Linked DNA regions of Ovis aries. The protein of the gene in region 1 purifies or fractionates together with the protein of each later gene. This does not show direct contact. Links are inferred from orthologs where the notes say so. Each region holds a gene or a part of one and is shown in the gene's direction. Other genes may lie near its edges. The genes, in order: SNRPA, SF3B1, CDC5L, RNPS1, SNRPD3, PRPF19 and SF3A1.

Region 1 (4,022 bases):
GGGGCAAGGCACGTAAAGCGTGGGATTGAGGACCCCTGGGCTAAAAACTGGAAGAATTTAGAAGAGATCCTACCCCCTTCGCACCTCAGACCGGAGTTTGGAACCTTAGAGCTGACCTTTGAGTCAGAGGTCAAAAGGACACTTGGCAGGGAAATTAGCCTAGTTGTGGAGAAAGTCCTGAAATCGGGGCGCAACGGGAAGTCTTGTGGGCTGGAGAAGGCTCACAGGTTGGAGGTCGTTGGGAGCCCCCATACGGCTGGGGTAACAGGGCCGGGCACTAAAACGCGCCTACCCTTGCCGCAAAATGGCTGCCGCAGCGTACAGCCTTTCCCAAATCCCGCGGTAAGACTCGCAACTCAAGCCCGCCCCTTTAACGATCACGTGACAGAGACTGGCTGCGAAAGAAAGGCCTTGGAAGAGACTGCCGCAAGAACCGAGTCCCGATTGGCAAGAGGCGCGTGAGGGGGCGCGGCCTTCACTGATTGGTCCTTAGTCGCGTGCGCCGCAAAAGGGTTTGCAGGGGCTGGGCGGAGTTTTTCTGCTGAGGCGCGAACCCAATTGCCGTTTTTATTGGCAAAATCTGGGTCCGGGAGCTAGCCTTACTCTGATTGGCCAAGCTACCAAGTTTCTGCGCAGGGGTTGGCTTGTAGATAGACAAGGCGGGTCTAGAGGAGGAAGTTTTGTGGCCGGCGCTCAGCAGCGTAGCAGGCATCGCTTGCGGGAGCTGAGCCTGTTTCGGTGAGTATTCTTGGGCACAAACGGCCGTAGGCGCCTGGCGGCGGAGCGCTTGACGCCCGGGCTTTCCTGCGCCTCGTGTAGTGGGAACTATTTTTTTTCTGCTCGAGGCCAGGGTTCGGCAACGCCGTCCCGCTGGCCTTAACTGGCGCTTACAGCCGGGCCATTTCTCCTGGGCGGGTCTCTGAGCGCGTGGGCCAGTGGGAATCGCCACCTAGGCCGCTCCGCCTACTAAGTCGAGTAGAGCATCCTGGGACTCGTAGTAAACCTCACGAGATTTCCCTCACCACGCGGGGAGGAGAAGCTGTGTGCTGCGTTTGCTTTGTTTTCCGAGCCGTGCTTCCCTCTTTCCTCCTCTGTACCTTACTTGACTTTCTCTTGGAAGGAAGATCCTTTAGTAGCCCGCGTTGGGACAAAAGGATTTTCAGAAACCCAGGACTGAGTGGGACTTTTTCATTCTTTCAGCCCTACCTCAGCAACTTACTCCATGGCAGTTCCCGAGACCCGCCCCAACCACACTATTTATATCAACAATCTCAATGAGAAGATCAAGAAGGATGGTGAGTTTTCGGGATAGTCCGGACACCAGGCTATCCCGCACGAACCTGCTCCCTCTTCTGTCCCCAGCATCCATGTCTCTTCCTCAGCCTTCTCCAGCCAAACCTTTTAAGTTCGGCCTTTGCACAAGCAGTGCTTTTGATATTTCCTCATTTTCTCCTACACTTTTCCCGGTAATCTGGTAACTTGCTTGTCTTTCAAGGTTTCAGCTTCAAGACGCCCCTCCTCCAGGATGCCTCCCCCTTCCCTTTTCCACCCACGTGCTTGCCTCTGACTTCCTAAAACCCTGAACCTCCCCAGCCAAGTCCTGATCTGGCTGTCAGGGGACTGTCTCTCTCCTGGCCTTTGAGCTCCAGGAGGGTAAGAACTGCAACTGTTGGTCACTGTCATGGCCTCAAGTGAATAATCCACAGTGAAAACGTTTCATTTCAAAATAAAGTGAAATGAACCGTGATGGCGGGTAACACTGGGTACCAGGTGCTGATCTATAAATAATGGTTGCATTTAACTTTCACAGCAATCCTGCAGGAAGGACCTGTTGTTCCCATTTCTTAGATTAGAAACTGAGACTCCACAGGGATGTGATTCTCCCAAGGCATACAGCAGGGAAACGTGCTTGAGACCACTATATGGAATTCTGGTTAAGAACTCGATTCTAGATATGACATACTTTTCTTTTTTCTTGAGCAAGTTATCACTTTTTATTGAACTTCATGTTTTTATATATATAGGAAAGCTGGGCAAAATCTGTGCACAGATGTTATAGGGAATATATGAGCTAAACTTCCATGCCTTTTTTTTTATGGTGCCTAGCTGTTAGTAAGGGTTGGATATAAGTGTTAGCTCTTATTATCTCCTCAAGAAAACTGGTAGGAGAACTGAAGGAGCTTGCTGGCATTAAGTTGAGGTTACTGATAAAGTTGCTATTGAAGATAATAAACAAGCCATGTAAATCCCTCATATACTGTTAGAGCATTGTGCCCAGCCAGTTCTCTGTGGAGCTGTGGACACAGTGGTGACTGAGACAGTCCTGGTCCTGACTTCATGGAACCACAGTCTAGTAGAGATGACAGATCTGCTCCCAGACAGTGATAGCCCAGAGTAGCCATGGCCATAATTGGGGGAAGTTGAGGCATAGTAGTCAAGGCTGGGATTGGGCACTTGGAAAAGGGTATTCAGGTTCACAGAACAGGAGACATTTTGGGAAAGCCTACCAGGGAGAGGAAGCAGCATCTGTGTTACAATGAGGGAGAAGAGTGACTAACCTGGACCAGCATGTGCAAATATCCAGGGGCAAAAGAGAGTCTAGGGCATTCTGGGAACCACATGTACTGCAGTTTTGGGTGCCTGAGACTTAGAGGCTGGTGATTTCATGGAGAACATTCAGGCAAGCAGTGCACTCTGGCTCCTGATGCCTTGAGGTCTGGGTGGGTGTTTTACTTCATCCTGAGGGCTTTGGGGAGCCAGGCAAGGGATGCAGTTAATTGTGAAAGATCTTTCCAGCTGTGGAGGGTGAACTTGTGTGGGCAAGAAAGGAGACTGGGCAGAGGCTCAGCACCCAGGGGAATGACTCGGGCCCGCACTGGGTTCACGGGGATGGCAAGTGGAGACAAATCTCAGAATTGTCATCAGAATTTCTGGCCGTTTGCTTCCCTCTTTACCCGACCCCCCTTTTCTTTCCTGCTGTCTCTTCGGCCAGGTGTCTTAAGCTCAGGTACCTTCTTTGCATAAGACGGGTACCCTTTCCTGGCTGTCCATTTGCTAGGGAGGTTTGGTGGTCCTGGGTTCAGATGGACTTGGGTCCTCGGTCAGTGACAGATCCTCTGAGAGCCTCTATCCACATTAGTAAAATTGGGGCAGTTATAATTGCTCACTCATGGAGTAGAGGTAAAAATTCAGTGAAGTTATTCCCAGAAATCATTTAATGATGTGTTTATTCAGGCAGATGTATTTGGAGATTTGTGTGCTGGCAACTATACTGTTCATTAGGGGTTTTTTTTTTTTTTTGGCTCACACCAAGGGACTTATGGAGAAGGCAATGACACTCCACTCCAGTACTCTTGCCTGGAAAATCCCATGGACGGAGGAGCCTGGTAGGCTGCAGCCCATGGGGTCGCTAAGAGTCAGGACACGACTGAGCGACTTCACTTTCACTTTTCACTTTCCTGCATTGGAGAAGGAAATGGCAACCTGCTCCAGTTCTTGCCTGGAGAATCCCAGGGACGGGGGAGCCTGGGGGCCTGCCGTCTCTAGGGTCACACAGAGTCCGACACGACTGAAGTGACTTAGCAAGGGGCTTATGGGATTTTAGTTCCCTGACCAGGGATTGAACCTGGACCCTTGTCAATAAGAGCACAGAGTTCTAACCACTGGACCACTAGGGAGTTCCCTGTGGGGATATTGTGATAAACAAATAGGATAGACTTGTACCTCTTCAGAAAGAGGACCAAACAAAAAGGAAACAAACATGATGTCAGGAGGTGGGAAGTGCCATGAAAGAAAAGCAAGTAGGTTCTCACGGTGAGAGGAGTGACATGAGGGGTCTCTCACCATGGTGGTCAGGGAAGGCCTCAGGTGGTAACATCTCTGCTGAGTCCTGGGTGACTGGAAGGAGGCAGCCATGTACACATCAGGAGAAAGTTGCTCCTAGTAGAGGGAGCAGTCAGTGGAAAGGTCCTGAGGCAAGGTTGCTGTGACGAGCCTGAGAAAGGGCTGGGAGGCCAGTGTTG
Region 2 (4,101 bases), on another chromosome or scaffold:
ATTTTTTATATATAAAAGAATATATGTAATCTATGTGTAGGTTATAAGCCATTTAAGGAATACCTATGGACCCTCTGCCAATCCAAGAACTAGAATTTATCAACAATTGAATTAATAATCTACATGTTCTTCTCTTATCTCATCCCCTTCCTCCTCCAGCTATTGTTTAACCTAAATTAAACTGAAAACTTTAACCCATCAAATTGATTTTTTCATTGATGCTATTAAAATGTCACTTTGGGGGACCTCCCCAGTGGTCCAGTGGCTAAAATTCTGTGCCCCCAATGCAAGGGGCCCAGGTTCAATCCCCAGCCAAAAAAAAAAAAAACACCTTACTTTTTTATTACGTAAATTTCTACTAAGTATTTGTATTCTGAGTCTGTCACACCTGCCCTACTAGGCTGCTTCCAGTACCAATTTCCCTATTAAATTCTTATGTTCTTCTGAGTCCAAAGCCAGTGTGACAGGTTATGGTTGTATAGCTGATGTTTAGGAGAAAAAAATACTGATTTAGGAATGACATTTAGGATTATCAGAAGCATTTCATTAGTGTTAGTGCTGACAATCGGGACTTTTCTAAGAACTCAGAAGAGCGTCAGAGTTCCTGCTGTGTAACTTAATAACCGTGTGACCTTGTGCAGTCTCATATATAACCCTGTCCTATCTTTTTTCCGTCATTTCTTAAATGAGATTAGCAACAATTTATCCACTTTGTGGGAGTTATGGGATTACCAACAAGTTACTCTCTTTATGTGAATTTCAATAGCGATTGGGAATGTATATTGTAGACAAAACTCCTAATCAAATGGTAAGTAATTAGTTAAAAAGAGAACGACCTTAAATTACAGAGTGAGGGATGAGACTGTTGTAACTGTTAACATAACTAAGCACTACAACAGCTGAGACATGCTGAGGAAAGTTTTTGGCCTCAAAACGCCGTCTGGTGAATTTGGAGAAAGGGGACTGAAGGTCTGAGGCTTCTTCCAGTCCTGAAACCTTAGTGTTTCTTTCAGCGACTGTTTTTAACTGCCCTGGTGGAATCCACTTTCCTCCACGGCGGAGTTACTAGCTACAGGGCGCTAAGGCCCACGTAGTCCTTGTCGGGTTTACCACGGAAACCGTCTCCGGGAGCAACCCTGACTCCTCCCTCCACCCACAATGCACCTCTCTGTTCTATCTAGGTGGCTGCTCTGTCACGTGTCACCGACCGAGCGCGCTCCCGCTTGGCGCTTGCGCGGAGAGCGGCTCCCAGCTATTTTTCTCCGTGGCAGCGGCGACGAGCGGAAGTTCTTGGGAGCGCCAGTTCCGTCTGTGTGTTCGAGTGGACAAAATGGCGAAGATCGCCAAGACTCACGAAGGTAAGCGGTTTTCCCCTTGTTACGTAGATTCTCCGCTGCCAGCCTGCTAAGACTTTGTCTTCCTAGGTTTCTGCCTCTTCCTGTGGTTTCTTTTCTGGGGGTCTGAACTCGCGCTTCGGGCCCCGGGTTGTCTGCTCGGCGCCAGAGGCGCAGGCCACTGCCCCGCGTAATGGCGTCCTACTCGTACACCCCCGACAGGCGCTTTGTTCCGTGTTTGGGTACTGTTACTTCAACATTGCTTTTCTTCTCTGATTGGGGCCTCGTTTAAACAGCTCTCTAAGGATAATCCCTGGGTAAAGGAGCGGGGAAAAGGGCATGGGAACAAAGTCTCTCTCACCTCTCGGAACTGTCGTTGGCATAGTTTGTGCAGGGGAGGGTCAGAAAAGCACTGGATTATAGCAGCCGCTTTCCGGGCTGCGCTCAATCGAGTTTAGTCAAACTGAGGCTCGTTGCTCTTTAAGCTTGGTTAACTTGTATGTCTTCAGGCCTCTAAGATACATACCTTGGTGTTTTTTTTTTTTTTGGCTGTTGTTTGGAATGATTTGGAAATACAATCTGGTAGTTTTCTCTGTCCTTGATTACTTTTAGTATAATAGGGGCCTTTTTTCTTTTGAGACTGATTTTTGATGGAACAGGGAAAGGCACGTTAATAATGGCCACAGCTCTTGAACAAGTTGGTCGTTTTGTGAAATACAGAGTATGCGAAATTAGGAAAATATTAGAAATAGGCTGTAGCAGTCCCCCTTCAGGGAGTATTCAGAAATGACAGGAAGTAGGGGCACTTTTGCGGAGAAGGCAGTGGCACCCCACTCCAGTACTCTTGCCTGGAAAATCCCGTGGACGGAGGAGCCTGGTAGGCTGCAGTCCATGGGGTCGCTAAGAGTCGGACACGAATGAGCGACTTCCCTTTCACTTTTCACTCTTGCATTGGAGAAGGAAATGGCAACCCACTCCAGTGTTCTTGCCTGGAGAATCCCAGGGACGGCGGAGCCTGGTGGGCTGCCGTCTGTGGGGTCGCACAGAGTCGGACACGATTGAAGCGGCTTAGCAGCAGCAGGGTCACTTTTGAGAAAAGACGAGGTGTATGGGAAGTTGGAACTGCATTCCTTGATTTCTGACTTGAAATCTGAAATTTCAATCAAACACTGCTTCGAAGAGTTAGTTTTATTTCACGTCGTTTTTTTACTTTTATGTCACGTCGTTTTTGGGTTAGTGGCTTGGTGTTAGTTTGTGGGAGGTAATAAAGACTAAAGTCATCAAATTTTATAGTCTGGTGGGGAAACAGGTATCTATTTTCATTCTTTACGAGGCAATTGAATGCTTAAACAAATATAAGCAGTGTATTTTGGGAAGCTGGGTAACGGAGTCATTAATTTATGCTTAGGGCTATTTCATAGAGGAGATGACGTATCCCTGGTCTAAAAGGATCAATCGGTTTTAAATTAGGGGAGGACATTTGAACCTGAGATGACGTCTTGTTCCTAGTTAGTGACTCGTGAAAGATGTGTTTGGCTAGTTGGGGCAGGAAAAGAGAGTTCAAGGAGGAAAAAAGGAGATGCATCTGAAAAATGTTGGTTGGGGCTGTTAATGATTGTGTCACCCCTGGGAATTGAGTCCAGTTTTCTGCAACTTAGGAAACAGACTAATGAAGTGGCAGTGACTTTTATATTTTTACTGTTCTTGTTAGGTATTTGGGATTGAAACACTGTTTTAATACCAAAGTGTTTTGGGGGCACTTCTGTCTTTAGACTACTACTTTTGTAAAATAATTAGAAAACATAAAGATGTTGGCTATTCTTGTTTATCTTGTAGGTTATTCATTTGGGGCATTTTGTGGCCTTGATTACTTTATCAGTATCTTTATGATAAGATAACTTTTGGATAGGAAAATCAAAGTTATGATTAGTTTTCCTGTGTTTTAGAAGCACAGTTGAAAGTTTTAGTCTATAGAAGATTGCAATTCATTTACCGGAATTGGTTTTATATGGGATTATACTCATGAATTAGCTGAGGCCTAAAGTATTGGAGCGTTCAGTTTCAGGTGTGAACACTGTCTGTATACAAGACACTGTCCAATCACTTACTGCAGTGTAAGACAGTATGATGAATGTTACAGTTTCTTGTTCTTTCCTCATGACATTTTCCTGGAGAGTACTAGTTCTTCAGAGTCCATCTCTGTTTTTACTTCTTAAGCCATCTCCGATAAACTGGATCAGAATAACTTTTCTTGGATTTTTGTTTGTGTATTTGACTTGCGTGTGCTTCTGTTACAACACTCCTAATCTTTATTACTTATAATATTTTACAGTGTTAAGGTTTTTTCTTCCACTTACAGTTGTATACAGAAACTGTCCTTTGGTATCCTCCGTTCCTGATGTATGAATGCTGAATATTTTAATCAACACTTACCGAGAGATTATACTGAAAGTATTAAGACTATCACAGAAAGGGGGCACTTAAACACTGACCTTTGAACAGTTTGGTAGGTTTGAATACTTCTGTTTGGCTAAGATAATTGGGAAGGACTTGAATTTTGGGACCTTCCTGAGTTTATATTTTGGAAACCTCCTGAGACATATTAACATCAAATTAGGATATTTGGCTAGGCTTGACTTTGGCCTTCCAGTATCTCCAGGATAAAGCACCCTCTTCATTCTCTGAGGTAACATTACTTCTGTGACTTAAAGTCATTGATTGTGGTAAAGGATGATCTAGAGGGAGTAAGGGTAACCTTTTAGGATGC
Region 3 (3,500 bases), on another chromosome or scaffold:
TTTCCTGTTTGGAACCAGTCTGTTGTTCCATGTCCAGTTCTAACTGTTGCTTCCTGACCTGCATACAGGTTTCTCAAGAGGCAGGTCAGGTGGTCTGGTATTCCCATCTCTTTCAGAATTTTCCACAGTTTATTGTGATCCACACAGTCAGAGGCTTTGGCATAGTCAATAAAGCAGAAATAGATGTTCTTCTGGAACTCTTGCTATTTTGATGATCCAGCGGATGTTGGCAATTTGATCTCTGGTTCCTCTGCCTTTTCTAAAACCAGCTTGAGCATCTGGAAGTTCACGGTTCACGTATTGCTGAAGCCTGGCTTGGAGAATTCTGAGCATTGCTTTACTAGTGTGTGAGATGAGTGCAGTTGTGCGGTAGTTGGAGCATTTGTTATTTTAGCTGTTTGCATTTTTTCTGTAGTGAACTGTCTTTCCTTCTGCTTTTTTCCCTTGAGATGCATTAAAAAAAACTTGCCTGGATTCTTTATATCTAACCATTCCTAATACTAATTGCAATTTTTTTTATACTATTTACTTTTTGATACTGTTTTATGATTTAAAAAATGGTGCTACAGAGATATAAAATTTAAAATTGAAAGCTGTTGATTTTTTTTTTTTTTGCCCATTTCATTGATATTAAGTGAGTATATTCCCATCCAGAGATTAGATACATATTTATTTGTAGTTCCTTCTGGTTTTTCTCTTTGCTCTAGTATATATGTGTACCTTTACATCAGAACTGGAGTTGATTTTGGTGCATGGTGTGAGGTGAGGATTTAAGTAAATATTTCTTTCCCAAATGACTGGACAGCTTTCTTAGCTCTGTTGGATGAGACATCCCTTCCCTGTGGTGTATGATTTTCAAGGTGATGTTTTGTTCTTTTGCTTCAGGCGTCTTGCTGCCCTCCAAAAGAGAAGAGAACTTCGAGCAGCCGGCATAGAAATTCAGAAGAAAAGAAAAAAGAAAAGAGGAGTTGATTATAATGCTGAAATTCCATTTGAAAAAAAGCCTGCTCTTGGTTTCTATGATACTTCTGAGGAAAACTACCAGACTCTTGATGCTGATTTCAGAAAGTTAAGACAGCAGGATCTTGATGGGGAGCTGAGATCGTAAGTTACCTTTCTGGATTTTTTTCTCCTTTCTGGTTTTATAAATGGAAAAGTATAGTAGGAATTTTATGGACGGCCAGATATTATCCTTGTCAGAGCCAGATTTTTCTTAGTCAGCACAATGTGGCTTACATAATGCTTTTACTTATTTAATGGATTCACCTTTCTGAGAAAACCAGTGACCCTGGCTGTAATGTTTTTAGTACAGAATACTGTTTGCATTTCTTGAAATGTCAGCATTTGGCTGTTAGTGAATTTGGAAACAGGTTAGTTATTTCACTAATGGCCTGAAGGAATATGTCAGAAATCTGGTCTGCCTTTTTTTTTCCTTAGTGAAAATTTTATCTTGTTTTTCTTAAAATGAAATTAAAAGGAAGAAATGATGATTACCAGTTCATTCTTAAATCTTTTCATCTAATGAGGATCAGTGTGTATTTTTATCAGATGTCTTAGGATGCAAAGGATTTTGCTTATTTATAGGGATTTTTAGAGTTTCTTTAAATCTTATATCTGAATGTTGTGGAAAAAACCTTTTATGCTTATCAGAGATTTTTAGTTTTCCACTCCCCCAGTGGCCTTCTATATTTCTGTTGACATGAATTGTTAGTAAACAACAGATGTCAGCCAGTGTGGATCAGCATTTTCTTGAATGTACTCCATTGCATTTGTTTTTCAGATTAGACCCTTGTTTTAGGTAGCCTCTACAGATAAAAAGATTGAAGAAAAAAAAGTCATTTGGGTGGAGTAGACTAGATAAGAGGAGAAGGGTGACATGCAGAGGGGAAGGAAGCATTCCTGGTCCTTTAGAAAATGACCTTGAGCCTGGCACTAGACCCTAACACCTCTCTGATGTCATTTGTGAGAACTTAACTGTCCTTTAAAAAAAAAATGATGTCAAACAATTGAAGATTAGTTTTAAAGGAAAATTTAAAACCAGTGTTTTAATTCTGTTCCCTTCGTTTGTTTCCCTTTTTGTATACTTTATCATTTTCCTAGTACAAACACATATTTTTGTATGAAGGTAGTCATGATATAGGAGTCATGATATAGGAGTAGTTTTATGGTTTTCATGTTATATGTAACATTTTGCTTATCGTAGTCTTTATAGTTACATAGTTTTACTATTTAGTACTTAAATTACTTAGTGTATCTTATTTTCTTAATAATTCTATTGCTATTCTATATTCCTATTGAACATAGTAGTAAGTAATGTATAGGAATAGGAAACAGCTTAATGTATATAGTTTTGTCTTTTTATTAGTACTTTTCTTAAGAGCGGATTATTTTGTTCAGAGTATATGACTATTTGTATGGCTTTTAACATTATTGCCTATGAGTAACTTTGAAAAATTTGTTCTCCACCTTGATCCATGACAGTGAAAAAGAAGGACGAGATAGAAAAAAAGACAAACAGCATTTGAAAAGGAAAAAAGAATCTGATTTACCATCAGCTATTCTTCAAACTAGTGGTGTTTCTGAATTTACTAAAAAGAGGAGCAAGCTAGTACTTCCTGCCCCTCAGGTAATCTGATGAAAGTAGTTTTTTCACTGTGTGAACTCACATGCATTTATACCTTTTTTCAGCAAATGTTTGCGGGTGTATGTGCCAGGTTTTCTTTTAGGTGCTTGGTACTCCTAAGAAATATTAGGCCTTGAACTTCTCATATGATGGTTTAGTAATTAATTGTCAGCTCTTAGCAATTTGTCAGTAGACTGGGGCTCCAGGCCTCATTTTTTTGTAGCTGGTAATGGTGGTATTTGGCCTTGTGGACTTCAGGTGACTGCCTTTTAGGGAATGTTTGGTTGTGTCATTCTTCTGTTTTTGAGACAGTAACTGTGAGAATCAATGTGGGAGTTGTGGAGAAGAAACAATTCATTCAGCTCATTGTAGGCTCTCTTCCTATGGCTGAATTGTGGTTGGTTAGAAACATGAGGATTTTGAATAAGCTTCTCTTGCATTTTGATGAGTACAGCTCTGTAGAATTGGACAGTTTAATGGAGCAGAGGGATGGATTTAGGAGGTTTGAACAGCTTCTTTAGCCAAATGAATGCCCTGGCTGCATTAATATAAAATTCGTGGGTATAAACATAAAATAGTTTTGTCAGATGCTATCATTTGTAGTGGTGATATTTCTTAAATTGGAATTTTGCCTGTAACCTTTTCTTTTTTTTCCAGTTCTTAGGACATTTGTTGGTAAAATTACAAAAATAACACCTTTTGATTTTCTTAGGGATTTTTGTGGCTCAATGGACTCTGTGATATTTTAATTCATTTTTAGTATGCGCCCCCCCCAATTGATAAATGGTTTTGTACAAATAATTTATAATCTTGATTTATTAATATATTGTTTTGAGAGAATTTCAGTATGGAAATAGAAGAATACAGTTTGATATTG
Region 4 (3,315 bases), on another chromosome or scaffold:
AGAAGAGCTTGCTAGGAGTCAAAGAAAATAATAAAAAGTCCAGCACTAGGTAATCCTTCTGTCAGATTTTTCTAGTGCTACTTTCGGGGTGCTCGTTGTTAGGGACCCGCAGAAAGGGGGACATTGGAAATATCTTGAATTTTACAGTGAAAGTGTCCTAAGCCACAGACCCTTTTGCTCTGTGGTGGCCTGGGGTTTCTGTAGCCCTTTGCATCCCCTTTTGGGTTGTGCTGTGGTTTCAGGGTTCAGCCCAAGGGGCATGTCATCTCACACTCTCCCTCACTGTCCAGGGCGCCTTCTCCCACCAAACGCAAAGACCGCTCTGATGAGAAGTCCAAGGACCGCTCTAAAGATAAAGGGGCCACCAAGGAGTCGAGCGAGAAGGATCGTGGCAGGGATAAGACTCGGAAGAGGCGCAGTGCTTCCAGCGGGAGCAGCAGCACCAGGTGGGGCTGGCAGGTCAGGGCCTTGCCAGGGCCTTACTTCCAAGGCCATGGCCCTCTTCTTTCCCAAAGAGCCTGCAGAGTGTTCTTTCTTTTTATTGATAAAGCACTCAGATTACTAATTTATGGCAGACTGGTTTGGGCTTTGCTCTGATCATACAGAGGACGGTGTTGGTATGTTTGGTTGTTTTCTTTTTTGGAGGCATTAGGAATGCAACATCTTGAGTTATGCTTTTTTCTCGCGTGCTTTTGATTTGGAGTTGTGGTTGGATCATCCTAGCCTGGCTCTTTCCTTTTCCTTTTGTTGAAAACCAGCCTGTGTCAGTCAGTAGCTGCCTTCCAAGCTGAGCCGGGGGCTCTGATTTCCCAGACTGCTCCTTTTCCTCCCAGTAGGCAAGGCTTCTGTGTAGGTAGGAAGCAGTCCTGTCACTGCATGGTACATATGCTGTTTCTGTCCCTGCAAGGGCTTTGTTAGGATGGGGCTGGAGGGTGTCCGTGGGTGCTGGGGAAAGCCTTGAGGCTTGAGAATACGAGCCCAGTGGTTCCCCTTGACTTGTCTGCAGTGAGGCAGCACTGCTTCTACCGGTGACCCCTCCCTCTCGGCCCTCAGGTCCCGGTCCAGCTCTACCTCCAGCTCAGGCTCCAGCACCAGCACGGGCTCCAGCAGCGGCTCCAGCTCGTCTTCGGCTTCGAGCCGCTCGGGAAGTTCCAGCACGTCGCGCAGCTCCAGCTCCAGCAGCTCCTCCGGCTCCCCGAGCCCTTCTCGGCGCAGACACGACAACAGGCGGCGTTCCCGCTCCAAGTGAGCCCCCTTCCAGCCCCTCTTCTCCACGGGGGACTGGTCAGTTCAGGGGATTACCTCCAAGACTCATGAGTTATCTGGGATCTAAGTTTACAGACTGGGGCTATAAGATTACCATTAGTTATTACCAAAGTAGACCAAAAAAGGAGTTTCACTGTCTTAATAGGATTTTGTATTTTTCAATTAGGTCCAAACCACCCAAAAGAGATGAAAAGGAAAGGAAAAGGCGGAGCCCTTCCCCTAAACCCACCAAAGTACACATTGGGCGGCTCACCAGGAATGTGACCAAGGTGAGGAATCTGCTTCTGTCCAGTGGACATTGGGGTGATTCTTGCAGATGTTTAAAATGGAAAATGAGAAGCCCGCCTCTGCCAGAAGGTAAACGTAGAATGCAGCATTTCTGGGGGCTGAGTTGGTGGCATGTGACCAAGTAGAGCACTGGTTACTTCCTTTTAACAGAATATATTTTGTGTGTGTGCTTAGGGTGCTGAGGGTGTGGTCATTGTGTGGCGAGTTCTCTGACTTCTACACAAGTGAAGGGAGGGTGAGCCTAAGTGACCCTTCTTCCTCCCTAGGATCACATCATGGAGATATTCTCTACCTATGGGAAAATTAAAATGATTGACATGCCTGTAGAAAGGATGCACCCCCATTTGTCTAAAGGCTACGCCTATGTGGAGTTTGAGAATCCAGACGAGGCTGAGAAGGCGCTGAAGCACATGGACGGAGGTAAGTCCAGCCTTGCTCTGACCTGTCCCAGACCAGCTGCCCACCATACCTGGTGTGATGAGAACCGATTTCCAGTCTGGCTGCATGTGAGAATTTCCTTGGAGCTCTGTCAAGATTCCAGTTCTTACTCAGTGGGTGTGTCTTTACCAAAACCATGTTTTACAGAGCATTATTCTTGAAAAAGTATTCATCAAATATGAATATATTAGCATTTTAAGAATATTTCAATCTGTTAAAACTTAAGGATCAAATGAACGATTTTTTTTTTCTTCACAAAGTATTTGACTATAATGAAACATTTTTATATGGGAATGTTTTCTTTAATCCTGAGTTACTTTCTGTTTTGCTAAAACTTAGCATTTTTAAGATAACTTTCTAAATCCACAGATTTTACCTCTTCCTAAAATGCATCCTAACTGTTGATGACGTTTACAGCCACTTTGTATTGGCTTTGACACCCTTTGAAGGACTGAACATTTGCCAGTTGTTTTGCATCTCGAATAGGCAGCATTTTAAGGAGTATAGGTTTCGCTGGACCCTTGCTGCTTCTGTCCTCCAGGCAGCTGAGCTGAGCCAGGAGTGCCCGAGCCCCACGTGGGCTGCCAGGCCGAGTGGGGGGAAGAGTCTGAACCCCTGAGAACCTTGGCATCCTTGGAGGCCCTTTTACATGTTTGAAAGATAATTGCCCTTGAACCCTGGTAGAGTTTGTATAGTACAAAATTTTCCTTGGTACTTCTCTCAATCTCCTTAAATCCCCCTGGAGTATTTTTAGGAGTTCAGCATAAACTGGGATCTGTCACTGTGCAGGCATCAACTCTTATTGAGTCACGCCTTTGTTTTAGAGATTGTCAGTCTTGTGTTTGATGGAGTCTGAGCACTTGCTAAAAATTTAGGAGGCTTAGACACATTCAGGATGTGTGTGATGATAAATATTCCACCTTGTCTTAAGATTCTGGTAGGACTTTTTCTCTGTCTCTTTGTATTGTGCGGAATGGAACCGATCAGTCTCCAGAAAGAAATGGAAGGGCTTGGTTTTTACTGGCAGGTAGCTAGAGGATGAGAGAAGACAATGGCATCCTACTCCAGTACTCTTGCCTGGAAAATCCCATGGACAGAGGAGGCTGGTGGGCTGCAATCCATGGGGTCACGACTGAGCAACTTCACTTTCACTTTTCACTTTCATGCATTGGAGAAGGAAATGGCAACCCACTCTAGTGTTCTTGCCTGGGGAATCCCAGGGGTGGGGGAGCCTGGTGGGCTGCCGTCTGTGGGGTCGCACAGAGTCAGACATGACTGAAGCGATTTAGCAGCAGCAGGTAGAGGATGACCTTTCTCCTTTTT
Region 5 (4,013 bases), on another chromosome or scaffold:
GCAAGCGAGAGATGCCCAGGGGTGTCCCTGCTCAGGGAGTTATCAGGAAAAACAAACAAACCCCAACTGACCGTAGCCGGCCCGGCGGGACCCGCCGGAGCGCACACCTGCCCAGGTTTTGCTCAGAGCTCAACAGCCGGGGCCGCGGCGGCGGTCGGCCCAAGGTCGCGCGGCCGGACCCTGCCCGGCGCTCGGGCGGGGTTCCCCCCCAAACTCGATTCCCAGGCTGAGGGCTGCCCCCCAACCCTGATCCCGGATCCCCGATCCCCAGGGCCCTGCCCCGCGCCCACCGCGATCCCCGGGGTCAGGGCCGCCCCCCGATCCCCGGGGCCCTGCCCCGCGCCCACCGCGATCCCCGGGGTCAGGGCCGCCCCCCGATCCCCAGGGCCCTGCCCCGCGCCCACCGCGATCCCCGGGGTCAGGGCCGCCCCCCGATCCCCGGGGCCCTGCCCGGCGCCCACCGCGATCCCCGGGGTCAGGGCCGCCCCCCGATCCCCGGGGCCCTGCCCCGCGCCCACCGCGATCCCCGGGGTGACGGGGGGACCACACTGACCGGGCTCGAGCGGCGGCCCCGCTGCCTGCGCGTCCACCTCCGTCCTCATGACCCGGGCGGCGCGGGGCTCCCATGGCCCCGGCCCGGCGCGGGCTGCAGCTCTGGCGTCGACTGGGGACGGGAGCGCGCGGCCGGCGCGCGCCGGCTCCCCGGGCGGCCAGCACCAGCGCCCCGGGGGGAGCGGGGGCGGGAGGCGGCGGCGGCCCCAGGCCCCGCCCCGGCCCGCCCCGGCCCGCCCCGGCTCCCACGCCGGCGGCCCCCCGGCCCGCTGCTCCGGGTCCCCGCTCTCCCTGTCCGCACGCCGGGGGCACTCGCCTCGCTCGGGGCACCCCTTCCCCGGCGCCGTCGGCTTCCCAGGCTTCCCCTGCGGGGGCAGGTCCCGGCCCCGGGCCCCCGCCGCCGCCGCCGCCCGCCTCGCTGTCCAGCCCGCGTCTGGCGTCGGGCGCTGGGGACCGCGAGTCCCCCTCGGCCCGGGCCGGCCCGAGGGTCGCTGTTTCCGGCGGCACCTGGGTCCGGTCATCAGCCCCGCTCTTCCCCGGGCCCGGAACTATTGTACCCGAGCTCGGGTTCCCCAGCCGGCGCGGTAAGGATGAACGCGAAGGCGAGAGACGTCGCCCGCCGCCACTCGGGTAAAGGAAGGGGGCGGGCCCTGCGCGAGGCATTTTGGGAACGCGTGGTATTCTGGGAGCGCGCGGCCCGCCATTCGCGCCCTCACGCCTTCGCAGTCGCCGGAGTTCCGTCTGCCCTGCCGCCTCTGAAAGAGGAGCCCGGAGCCGGTGAGGACGGGGCCGGGGGTGCGGGGAGGGCGAGGGCTAGGCCGAGGTCCCGCGGGGGGCCGGGGGGCTGGAGGAGGACGCGCCGCCGAGGAGCCCTGCGGTGCTCGTGGAGGGAGAGCCGCGGGGAGCTGGGCCACCCCGACCCCCAGCGGCGCCTCCCAAGCGCCTGGAGGTGCGTTCGTTAGCTTTTTCCCCGAAGTACTTGCTCTTCGGTTTCCGAACCTCTCCAGGCCGGTGTTTCTCGAAGTATCCAGGCAGTGGTCTTGAGATCGTTCCTGGCTGGTGGCCACCTTCCCCCCAGATCCCTACTTGGCTGATTTCTTTTCAAAGCCCTTGGCATCTCTGCCTCCCTCCCCCTTCCAGGACCTGATCCCCTAACGCTGGAAACACAGGTTATCACATTTCCTTGCTTCTGTCTAAATCGTGTTGCAGCGTCTTGTAACTCCGGCTGCCCTTCCGTGGGGTAGTCTCTGTGCTGCCCCGGTTCCCCCAGCTGCGGTTCAGCGTTGTCCTCAGCAATGGAACCTGTTTTTTCCTAACCTCTCCCGGTCCTTTTCCTCTCTTTCGACCTCCTGCTGCGTGTCAACCGAAAAAATACCGCCACCTAAAAGCTGAGAATTAGGTTTATTCGGTGGGAATCATGAGGACTCCGAGCCCGGAAGACAGGATTTCAGGCGACCCCTGGGAGAGAGAAATGTTGGGTGGGGTGGAGTCAGGCTACAAAGAAGTTTGCAGCAAGGGGCAGGTAATCTGAATATTAAAAGATGACTGTTGAGTAATGGAGACCAGATCTCCGGCCTGAAGAGATTTAATACTTTTCTGTTCTTTGGGAAGATGCAAGAGTCCGGGCTTCCTGAAATCTTTTCTTTCACATGCATCTCAGCTATCTGGGGCCAATTCCTGCTTTTCGGCTGTTCACAGCCTAATTCCTCCTTTACCCTAAAGTTAAGGTACGAGGGACCGCCTCTTGTGCTTCTGACATCCCCCAGCTCCTCAGCACTTACAGGAAGTAACGGACAGCTGCCAAAAAGCCAGTATGGTTTTTACCTGGGCTTAAAAATTTGCATTTGGAAGGCTGGAATACCAGATGGCTGCGACGTGCCTTGATTACTGGAGAGCAGAAAGCATTTCATTTTACAGAAGTTTTCGTTTTATACACCCGTCTTGGGATTGAAAAAATCCACTTGCTTTTTTTCTCTCTTAATTAGATCAAGTCGGGGTTCTCCCTGGTTATATTTTCCCTCCAGGGTGAGCGTTTCCCACTTGTAGCACGCCGCCACCTTGTGAACACTTGGATATTTTCTCTTTAGCTTAATGGTGAAGTAAGTAGACGGTCAGAGTGCTTAATGGGTTGAATTAAACGCACAGCCCCGTCTGAGCTTCCCAGATGGCGCTAGTGGTTAAAAAGACCTCTTGCCAGTGCAGGAGATGTAAGAGACGTGGGCTCCATCCCTGGGTGGGGAAGATCCCCTGGAAAAGGGCGTGGCAGCCCACTCCAGTATTGTTGCCTGGAGAATCCCACGGACAGAGGAACCTGGTGGGCTACAGTCCATGGGGTCGCAGAGAGTCAGAAAAGCGACTTAACATGCGCACTCAAGAGCCCTGTGGTGGAAGGAAGATGGGAGGCAGCTCTTTCCCGTCAGCTTTCCCCCTGTTGAGGCCCTGTTCCTCCCCACTCACACCCTGCACGTGTTTGCCAGATGGGTCCTTCAAGCTCAGAATTCAGCTAAAAAAAAAACTAGTGCACCTCTGGCAACTTTGCTGAGTTTTCCAGAGTGTCAGCCTTGAGGGGTTGTGGTGTTTGCACATGCGTTCTTGGGCGTCGGAAGATGAGCTAACTGCTGTCTCTCTCTCACCGCAGAACTCTCTTCCTGCCGGGATGTCTATCGGAGTGCCGATCAAAGTCCTCCACGAGGCCGAGGGCCACATCGTGACGTGTGAGACGAACACTGGCGAGGTGTATCGGGGCAAGCTCATCGAGGCGGAGGACAACATGAACTGCCAGGTGCCCTGCTCTGTGCGGGGCCGGGGCGGGCCGGAGCCTCGGAGGGCAGGGCGCGGGCGGCTGGGGCTCCTTGAGGTTCTTGCTCAGCGGTGGTTCACCGAGTGCCTAAGCTGTGCCAGGCCCTATTAGAGGTGCCAGAGAGGCGGGCATCAGTGAGAGCCTCTTGGAGGTTGAGAATATGAAACCTAGAATCTGACTGTTTAGATTGCTCGTCCTTCGCTGCTCCCAGTCCCGTGGTTGTCTTCTCACGGACTTTGGGCCCATTTAAGAGAAGCAGCACAGCCTTCCGGAGGAGGCAGTGGCACCCCACTCCAGCGCTCTTGCCTGGAAAATCCTGTGGACGGGGAGCCTGGCGGGCTGCGGTCTGTGGGGTCGCACAGAGTCGGACACGACTGAAGCGACTCAGCAGCAGCAGCGCAGCCTTCAGCGGAGCCGTCAGGCTCAGCGCCCCCGCCCCGCACAGCGCGTTTGCACAGTGCTTTGCAGCTAGCAGAGTCTTCGCTCGCATACTCTGGGTATTTGCCATTTTCCTAGCAGAAGCACCTCGTGTGACTGCACTCGGAGCAAATACTTGGCCAAGCAAGCAGGTTTGGGTGATAGTTTTATCCATGAAATGGGAAGAATGAGATTACGGGACTCACCTGCTGAATATCGCTCTGCCAAGACGTGTTGGACCCAC
Region 6 (3,500 bases), on another chromosome or scaffold:
AGCCTCCACGCCACTGGTGACTATCTCCTGAGCTCCTCTGATGACCAGGTATCGTCCCAGCCAGGCTCTTGGTCCCCAAACTCAGGTATCCTGGGAGGAGGAAACATCTTACCCAGCTGGGTCCCCAGAACCAGGAGAGAGTATTTCCTCTCTACAGAGAGGGGATGGCCTTGCCAAGGTCTGCCCAACCAGGGTCCCTGCCTTCCTGAGGGGCCATCAGAACCTGGGGACCCACTGTCTTACCAGCTCTGTTGTCTCTTTTTTTTTCAGTACTGGGCCTTCTCTGATATCCAGACAGGACGTGTGCTCACCAAGGTGACCGATGAGACCTCTGGTTGCTGTAAGTTGTCTCCTAAGTGTTGGCCTCTTCAGTCGCTGTATATTGTTTAATGTTTTATTTAGTTGTTGCTCATTTGTTCTAAAAAATACATGCTGCCAGTGCTTGCTGGGTGCCGGGCATAGTGCTGGCCCAGGGAGCGTGAGGAACAGCGAGGAGCCTACCTTTGCTGTGCTTAGTATCTTGAGGGTGGGCTCTGACCGTCTGTCTGTCTCCCCCCCAACAGCTCTCACCTGTGCGCAGTTCCACCCTGATGGACTCATTTTTGGAACAGGAACCATGGACTCTCAGATCAAGATCTGGGACTTGAAGGTAGGACATGGCTGTCCCCGTCTGCAGCCCAGGGTTGGAGCTCTTGTCCCCGTGTGGTGTGATGAAGTGCTTATGGCACCTGGCCCCGGGGGTGTCCCAAGAGTGGGGAGACAGGGGCTGTGTGTGTGACAGTACTGTGTGTGTGGCACAGTACTGGGGTCCCCAGGCTGGGCGTCCACCCTTGCTCTTCCTGCTGGTTGTCCTCCCTGAGGGTGGAGGACGTCTCAGGAGTGGAGTTGTCTGAGCTCCATTTTCTCCCTCATGACCAGTGGGTGACATTTTACTCCCTGCTCCCCAACCACAGGAGCGCACCAATGTGGCCAACTTCCCCGGCCACTCGGGCCCCATCACCAGCATTGCCTTCTCGGAGAACGGCTACTACCTGGCTACAGCGGCCGATGACTCCTCTGTTAAACTCTGGGATCTGCGCAAACTTAAGAACTTTAAGACGTTGCAGCTGGATAACAACTTTGAGGTACACGTCTTTCTCTGTCACCCCTCCTCCTCGTTTGTCAGTGAATTACTCTAAACTGCCTCTGTTTTCCCCGAATTGCCCACAGTTTCTGCTTCCTTTCATGTGACTTCTTTCCTGATTTTGGCAGGTGAAGTCACTGATCTTTGACCAGAGCGGTACTTACCTGGCCCTTGGCGGCACCGACGTCCAGATCTACATCTGTAAACAGTGGACGGAGATTCTTCACTTTACAGGTAGAGGCTTGCCCTAAGACCCTGAGGTCTCTGGGTGCTCTGGCCCAGAAGAAAGTGGGGAAAATTTCACTGGGTTAGGGGTTTCTAGTGGCAGGCGTGCATTTGCCAAGGCCGCTTTTAGTCACTCTCTGAGGCAATAGAGTTTAGTGGCTAAAACAAGGAACTCAGGAGTCAGACTGCCTGACTTTAAATGCTAGCTCTGCCACTCGAAGCTTTGTGACACTGGGCAAGCTACTTAACTTCTCTGGAAAATAATAGTACAGTTGATTCTCCACAGACTCTACCCACTGTGGATCAAAAATATTTGTGGGCGGAAAAAATCCAGAAAGTTCCAAAAAGCAAAACTCAAATTGCCCGCACACTGGCAACTATTCATGTAGCATTTACACTATATTTAAAATTATTGGCATAGAATTTGTGCTGTTAGGAATTACAAGTTATTTAGAGATGATTTAAAGTATATAGGAGAATGTGTGTACATTATATACAAATACCACCCCAACAAAGTTGGCACCTCCTAATAGTAGTGTGGCCTCTGGTGCATGACTTTCCCTTTTGGAGCTGTAGTTACTTCATCTTTAAATGGGCGTATTGACACTGCTTCGCATATTGTGCCGGCTGGTGCCCTGGAGGTGGCCTGCATGGGGACAGGATGCCTCTTGCACCTTCAGGAACTGAAGGAATGGCAGCTGCTGCCATCTTTGTTAACGAAGTTCTTGTTCTCATTAGCGGGTGGTGGGCGGGGCACAAGCACCTTCTCCCACCCCAGATTCTACTCACTGTGTGTCCCAGAGATGGCCAGACCTGATGGTGTGGCCCATGGGTTTTCACCTTCCCTGGGCCCCGGTGCCTTGATTTAGAGCAGTCAGTGGAGTGGCGGGCTGGAAGCACAGGGCAGCGTTAGAGTGGGGAGCTGGTGGGCCAGCTGTGATTGTGGGAATTTGCCCTGATGTCCATGAACTACCTGAGCCCAGCGGAGAGGGTTGCCTGGCGTCTTTTGCCCCTGACCCAGCCTTCTGTGTGAGCTAGGACAGGCTGATAAGACTGTTCCAGTTACACACAGGGGCTCAGAACTAAAGACCAACAAGTCCAGCTTCCTGTCAGTTCTCAGACTTGGACTGAGCCGAGCAAAGCCAATTTGTAGCTGCCCTCGAAAGCTTAGGTGGCGGAGGACCGGTGTTCCTGTGTTCACTCAGCCCAGCCACACACAGTGCCTGCTGTGGGCCAGCCCCAGGGAGGCTCTGGAGCTCAGTGCCATGTAGAGCTCTGGCCTTGGGGGTTTCCAGGCCGCGGGAGGTTTCCAGGTCACAGGGACGGGTGGGGAGCATGTCATAGGGGTCGACGCTGAGACCCCAAGGAAGAAAAGCCTCCTCACCGTTGTCTTGTCTCTCCACAGAGCACAGTGGCCTGACCACGGGGGTGGCCTTCGGACACCACGCCAAGTTCATTGCTTCCACGGGAATGGACCGGAGCCTCAAATTCTACAGCCTGTAGGCGGCAGCTCACCAGACCGGAGTGGGGCCTCGTCTCAGTAGAGGGATAGCATTAGGGGTGGGGGTGGGGGGCAGGGGAGAAGAGACTACTGGGGGGTGGGGGGTGTATGGGGTGGGACATTCGCATCATTTCACTCTGGTCCCGGTGGTGGCCTGAGAGCCGCAGTGGCATGGACCACCCTCATCCGTCACCCTCTTGAGGGCTCAGCGTCGGCCCCAGGGCCTCTCTTCAAGGAGTTGATGGAGCTGATGGCTGTTCCACACCCACCGTGTTCCAGTTCCTGTGAGTTGGAGAGAGGCTGAGCCAAGGGAACTGTGAAGGGACTGGGCCGAGGGCTCAGGAAGGTTTTTGTAAGCAGCGCTCTAGTTTCATTAAAAAAAGAAAACAAACGTAGCCGCCTTCCTGTGTCTGTTTGTAGTGGGGAGAATCAAGGGGAGGGAGCACCAGTTAGGGCTTCAACCACCAGGATGCCCATCATTCTGTTGTTTCTTTAATTGGACAACAAATTTAAAAATAATCTACAAGCCATTTGCCAGAATGATTCTTCCACATTCCTGCAGGCCTTGACTTTGTGATTTATGGGGTTTTATGTCACCTGCCTTGGGTGGCTCCCATGTGAGCCTGGAAGTGGGGGAAGGGGAGAGTGCTG
Region 7 (4,093 bases), on another chromosome or scaffold:
GGCAACCCACTCCAGTACTCTTGCCTGGAAAATCCCATGGACGGAGGAGCCTGGTATGCTACAGTCCGTGGGGTTGCAAAGAGTCAGACACGACTGAGCGATTTCACATATCCTGACCAGTGCACCCATGGAAATGCTTTGGAAACTCTAAACCCATCTATATAGCAGCGTCAGTCTCTGACTCAGGATTGCTAACTGCCTGGATACCCCGGGGGGATACTGAAGGAATCCAGTGAAGACAAAGCAAGTAACCAAGTAAGCGCACCAGTAGAACAGTAAGAAAGGCCTGGGTTTGGATTCCCACTCCACCATGTAAACTGAAGATCTGTAAATGAGTTGCTCTGGGAAACAAATGATGGAATGCATGTAGTGTTTGGCACAGAGTCTGGCTCATGGTACATGTTCAACAAATCCTAACTATCGCTATAATTCAACGTTAATAGTAACACTAACATCAATCAGCTATGGTGTGAGAAAGAGACACGGGAGGAGACTTGGGAGGGCATCTTTTCCTATCACTCCCCCCGCCACACCCCCATTTCATCGGTGAAGAAACTGAAGTCCAGGCAAGGCTTCAGAGCCAGACACATTCTGGAGTTAGGAGGGAGGGGAGAGGGGAAAGGGAAGAGAAGCCCCCAGGAGGAGAAGCGAAAAGAGGGGGATCGTGGTGTGCCAGGGGGCGGGGAAGAGGCCCGCCGGGACCAACCTGCGGACGTGAGGGGTGGAGCCTAAAGAAGAAACCTAGATCTGAGTGGGTCCACCCGGTTGGAGGGCGGGACTACGGCAGGCGGGGGTGGAACTGGAAAAGACAGGGCCGCGGGAAACGGGACCAGTGGGAATTAGGGATCGAGACTTGGGAAGGGGTCTGGAGGATGTGGACCTGAAGTATAGAAGGGCTTGGAAGAACAGGCAGGCGGAGATCTGGCCAAAGTGGGAGCCCAGTGGGAGAGAACCCGGGATTTAGAAGGCGGGGGTCGGAGGGAGAGGGGAAATGGCCTGGCAGAGTAAAGGAGAGGGGGATCCGGGCGTCGGGGCGGAAGATGTAAAAAGTCTCACCAGTCTCCGGCGTCGCAGCCTCAGCCCCTGTGTCTGGCGGGTTCTTGGAACTGCCCCCAGGCGCTCCTGCAGCTCCGGGGATCCGGTGCAAAACCTAGCCCTGCTGCCCTGCCGCTGCCATGGCAACGGCGTCTCGCTCGTGGGAAGGGCAGGAAGTGATGTCACGGAGAAGGGGCGGGCCCGGACGTGCGTCAGCCTCGCCCCCTCGGCGACAACTCGGTCGGCCGCCGCCATCTTGAGAGCTTGTCGTACTGTTGGTGCGGTAAGGCGCTTTGACGCCGCACCGCTCACCTACACCGAGGCGGACTGGCAGCCCTGAGCGTCGCAGTCATGCCGGCCGGACCCGTGCAGGCGGTGCCCCCGCCGCCGCCCGCGGCCACCGAGCCCAAACAGGTACGGCGAGTTCTGCACCTCCACCGGCCGCTTGAGCAGGCCTGGGCCCTCGCCTCCCGCGCGGGCGCTCCTAACTCGTGCAGGAAGGAGCTGCCGTTTAGGAGGATTTGGGGGGACTCCAAGTCCCAGGAGGCAGCGCGCTTCCCGCCTGCCTTCGGGTAGCGGAAGAAGCCTTATTAGTGCCGTGGATCTCAAACTGAGGTCCGCGGACCAGCAGCAAATGGGAGTTGATTAGAAATGCTGATTTCCCACCCCAGATCTTCTAAAATCAGAATTTGCGTTTTTAATAAGATCCCACGGTGATTCATTAACGTTTGAGAAGCCCTGTTCTAGCGCATCCTCCGGTCTCGTGTGGTTAATTGGGCTCACCGGCCCCCCAGCCTTTGCTCTGGAGTCCCTAATTACCCAGCCTGCAGGGTACATCTTTGAATGTTAACTCTCAGCGTTTGTTTTCTGCTTACCGTAAGCCCGGCACCGTGCCAGGCTACGATATTAGCCAAATGAGTGAAGCACAATTCGTGCTTTATTTAGGGAGCTCAGGGACTAGTGGGGAGACAGATATGAGAGAATACTAGTAAATATCGTCTCAGTCACCACAAATGATACTGTTTCAGACAGCCCTTAAAAAGATTCAGCTAAGGAAGAGGGACGGGGTCAATAATTGGGTGATAATTGCAGGGTATTAGGAATGAGGCAGGAATTCTTTCTTTTTTAAACGTTAAACTTTTTATTTTGTATCGGAATATAGCTGATTATCAGTGTTGTGGTAGTTTCAGCTGAAAAGCAAAGGACTCAGCCATGCATATCCACGCAGTTGTCCTCCCCCACATCCCACACCCATGCAGGCTACCACATAACTTTGAGTAGGGTTCCTTGTGACAGACAGTAAGTCCTTGTTGGTTATCCATTTGGAATATAGCAACGTGTACATGACCTTCCCAAACTCCCCAACTATTCCTCCCCCCCGGTAACCATACATTTGTTTTCGAAGTCTGTTAGTCTCCTGTTGTTTTGTAAGTCCATTTGTGTCATTTCATTTTGGATTCCACATATAAGAGAGGCCATACGGTATTTCCCCTTCTTTGTCTGACTTATTTCACTCAGCATGACACTCTCTGAGTCCGTCCATGTTGCTGCAAATGGCATCATTTCATTCTTTTTAGTGGCTGAATAATATTCCATCACATATACGTACCACATCTTTATCCATTCATCTGTCGATGGATATTTGGCTTGCTTCCATGTCCTGTGCTGTGTGCTGTGCTTAGTTGCTCAGTTGTGTCTGACTCTTTGCAACCCCATGCACTGTAGTCCGCCAGGCTTCTTTGTCCATGGGGATTCTCCACGCAATACTGAAGTGGGTTGCCATGCCCTCCTCCAGGGGCCGAACCCAGGTCTTTTGCATTGCAGGTGGATTCTTTACTGTCTGAGCCACCAGGGAAGCCCAGGAATACTGGAGTGGGTAGCCTATCCTTTCTCCAGGGGATCTTCTTGACCCAGGAGTCAAACTGGGGTCTCCTGCATTGCAGGCGGATTCCTTACCAGCTGAGCTCCCAGGGAAGCCCTTCCACATCTTGGCTATTTTAAACAGTGGAGGCAGCAATTCTAATCCACGTCGCTTTTATGGGCTAGAGGAGAGTTTAAGGTAGGCGAGGCCCATGGGATGTAAGCTAAGTTGTGTTTAGAAGGATGAGTCAGTTCACCAGGTAGGTGATGGGGCAGGCAAATACCATTCTTTATTCATTCAGCAAATTTATTTATTGAGCATATCCTATCTGTTGACCACTGCAAGTACCTCTGTAACCCTGGCATTTTCCCGGTATTCGTGGAAAAATAAGCCAGGTAAAGCCACCTAAGTGCAGAGGTACCGAGGTCTGAGTCAGACAGTGCTTCTGGTCAAGGGTAAAGAAGGTTAAAGCATGGAGTTGGGAAAGTGGTACTTAAGAGCTGTATTACTGGCGATTTGAACTCTTCCTAGCAGGCTTTTGGGAGAAGAGCGGATGTAAGCTGGAGACTGACGTGTTTGTGTTGCAGAAATGGAGGTAGACAGTGATGTGGAGAATTGCTCGGAGGAAAGATTGGTCATGTTATTTGAAAAACGTTGAGGGCCTGGCCTACACTGTGGCTGGGGCCTGGGGCAGAGGGCGCCGGCACGCTGACGGCACGGAAGGGCTGATGTGCAAGCTCTCCCTCTGAACTGATGCGCTGGGATCCTGGTTCTGCCACGTGGGCTTCCTCAGGGAGGGGTCTCCGTTTCTTAGCTTGTCATCTGTAGAATGACAGTAGTGAGAATGCTTAGCGTCGCGGGCCTGTAAGGCTTATAGATGTAATCTGCTTCAGGTGCTCAGAGAAGGATGTAGAACCTACTCTGTGCTTGAGAAGTGTTCCTTATCACTGAATGTGGAGGTTGAGGAAAGGAGAAGAGACCCACGTTTCTGCCCTGGATGACTGGAGGCACGGTTGGCCGTCCATGAGGAGGGTGGTTAGAGATGAAAGTGCCCCGGGACCGTGGGCTCTTACAGCTCTGTGGCCACATGAGAGTGACGGGGGGCATTGGTGTGGGCAGGATGGTGTGGCCTAGAGGTGCTGGGGAAGTGGAGGATGCGCTGTCAGTGCCTACTGAGGACAGTGTGAGTCTGAAAAG

Evidence for each region.
Region 2: the proteins of SNRPA (region 1) and SF3B1 fractionate together in Homo sapiens (co-fractionation; 4 studies listed by BioGRID and IntAct, with this or other methods). This does not show direct contact. The link is inferred for Ovis aries from reciprocal best matches to the Homo sapiens genes SNRPA and SF3B1.
Region 3: the proteins of SNRPA (region 1) and CDC5L purify together in Homo sapiens (affinity purification with mass spectrometry; 4 studies listed by BioGRID and IntAct, with this or other methods). This does not show direct contact. The link is inferred for Ovis aries from reciprocal best matches to the Homo sapiens genes SNRPA and CDC5L.
Region 4: the proteins of SNRPA (region 1) and RNPS1 purify together in Homo sapiens (co-immunoprecipitation; 4 studies listed by BioGRID and IntAct, with this or other methods). This does not show direct contact. The link is inferred for Ovis aries from reciprocal best matches to the Homo sapiens genes SNRPA and RNPS1.
Region 5: the proteins of SNRPA (region 1) and SNRPD3 purify together in Homo sapiens (affinity purification with mass spectrometry; 3 studies listed by BioGRID and IntAct, with this or other methods). This does not show direct contact. The link is inferred for Ovis aries from reciprocal best matches to the Homo sapiens genes SNRPA and SNRPD3.
Region 6: the proteins of SNRPA (region 1) and PRPF19 fractionate together in Homo sapiens (co-fractionation; 3 studies listed by BioGRID and IntAct, with this or other methods). This does not show direct contact. The link is inferred for Ovis aries from reciprocal best matches to the Homo sapiens genes SNRPA and PRPF19.
Region 7: the proteins of SNRPA (region 1) and SF3A1 fractionate together in Homo sapiens (co-fractionation; 3 studies listed by BioGRID and IntAct, with this or other methods). This does not show direct contact. The link is inferred for Ovis aries from reciprocal best matches to the Homo sapiens genes SNRPA and SF3A1.

The regions. Positions count from the first base shown.
Region 1 is NC_056067.1:49,429,715-49,433,736, forward strand, and holds the start of SNRPA (U1 small nuclear ribonucleoprotein A), read left to right. Parts: upstream 1-1,222; coding exon 1,223-1,295; intron 1,296-4,022. UniProt on the Homo sapiens protein: Component of the spliceosomal U1 snRNP, which is essential for recognition of the pre-mRNA 5' splice-site and the subsequent assembly of the spliceosome. U1 snRNP is the first snRNP to interact with pre-mRNA.
Region 2 is NC_056055.1:199,734,116-199,738,216, reverse strand, and holds the start of SF3B1 (splicing factor 3B subunit 1), read left to right. Parts: upstream 1-1,301; 5' UTR 1,302-1,330; coding exon 1,331-1,358; intron 1,359-4,101. UniProt on the Homo sapiens protein: Component of the 17S U2 SnRNP complex of the spliceosome, a large ribonucleoprotein complex that removes introns from transcribed pre-mRNAs.
Region 3 is NC_056073.1:17,858,154-17,861,653, forward strand, and holds part of CDC5L (cell division cycle 5-like protein), read left to right. Parts: intron 1-885; coding exon 886-1,104; intron 1,105-2,481; coding exon 2,482-2,626; intron 2,627-3,500.
Region 4 is NC_056077.1:2,301,123-2,304,437, reverse strand, and holds part of RNPS1 (RNA-binding protein with serine-rich domain 1), read left to right. Parts: coding exon 1-49; intron 50-290; coding exon 291-446; intron 447-1,053; coding exon 1,054-1,245; intron 1,246-1,432; coding exon 1,433-1,535; intron 1,536-1,820; coding exon 1,821-1,974; intron 1,975-3,315. UniProt on the Homo sapiens protein: Part of pre- and post-splicing multiprotein mRNP complexes. Auxiliary component of the splicing-dependent multiprotein exon junction complex (EJC) deposited at splice junction on mRNAs.
Region 5 is NC_056070.1:71,547,568-71,551,580, reverse strand, and holds the start of SNRPD3 (small nuclear ribonucleoprotein Sm D3), read left to right. Parts: upstream 1-1,213; 5' UTR 1,214-1,329; intron 1,330-3,190; 5' UTR 3,191-3,208; coding exon 3,209-3,334; intron 3,335-4,013. Other genes in the region: protein GUCD1, read right to left, coding at 869-1,073. UniProt on the Homo sapiens protein: Plays a role in pre-mRNA splicing as a core component of the spliceosomal U1, U2, U4 and U5 small nuclear ribonucleoproteins (snRNPs), the building blocks of the spliceosome.
Region 6 is NC_056074.1:34,598,710-34,602,209, reverse strand, and holds the end of PRPF19 (pre-mRNA-processing factor 19), read left to right. Parts: coding exon 1-48; intron 49-270; coding exon 271-340; intron 341-563; coding exon 564-649; intron 650-953; coding exon 954-1,124; intron 1,125-1,251; coding exon 1,252-1,357; intron 1,358-2,753; coding exon 2,754-2,851; 3' UTR 2,852-3,240; downstream 3,241-3,500. UniProt on the Homo sapiens protein: Ubiquitin-protein ligase which is a core component of several complexes mainly involved pre-mRNA splicing and DNA repair. Required for pre-mRNA splicing as component of the spliceosome.
Region 7 is NC_056070.1:69,363,654-69,367,746, reverse strand, and holds the start of SF3A1 (splicing factor 3A subunit 1), read left to right. Parts: upstream 1-1,293; 5' UTR 1,294-1,386; coding exon 1,387-1,449; intron 1,450-4,093. UniProt on the Homo sapiens protein: Component of the 17S U2 SnRNP complex of the spliceosome, a large ribonucleoprotein complex that removes introns from transcribed pre-mRNAs.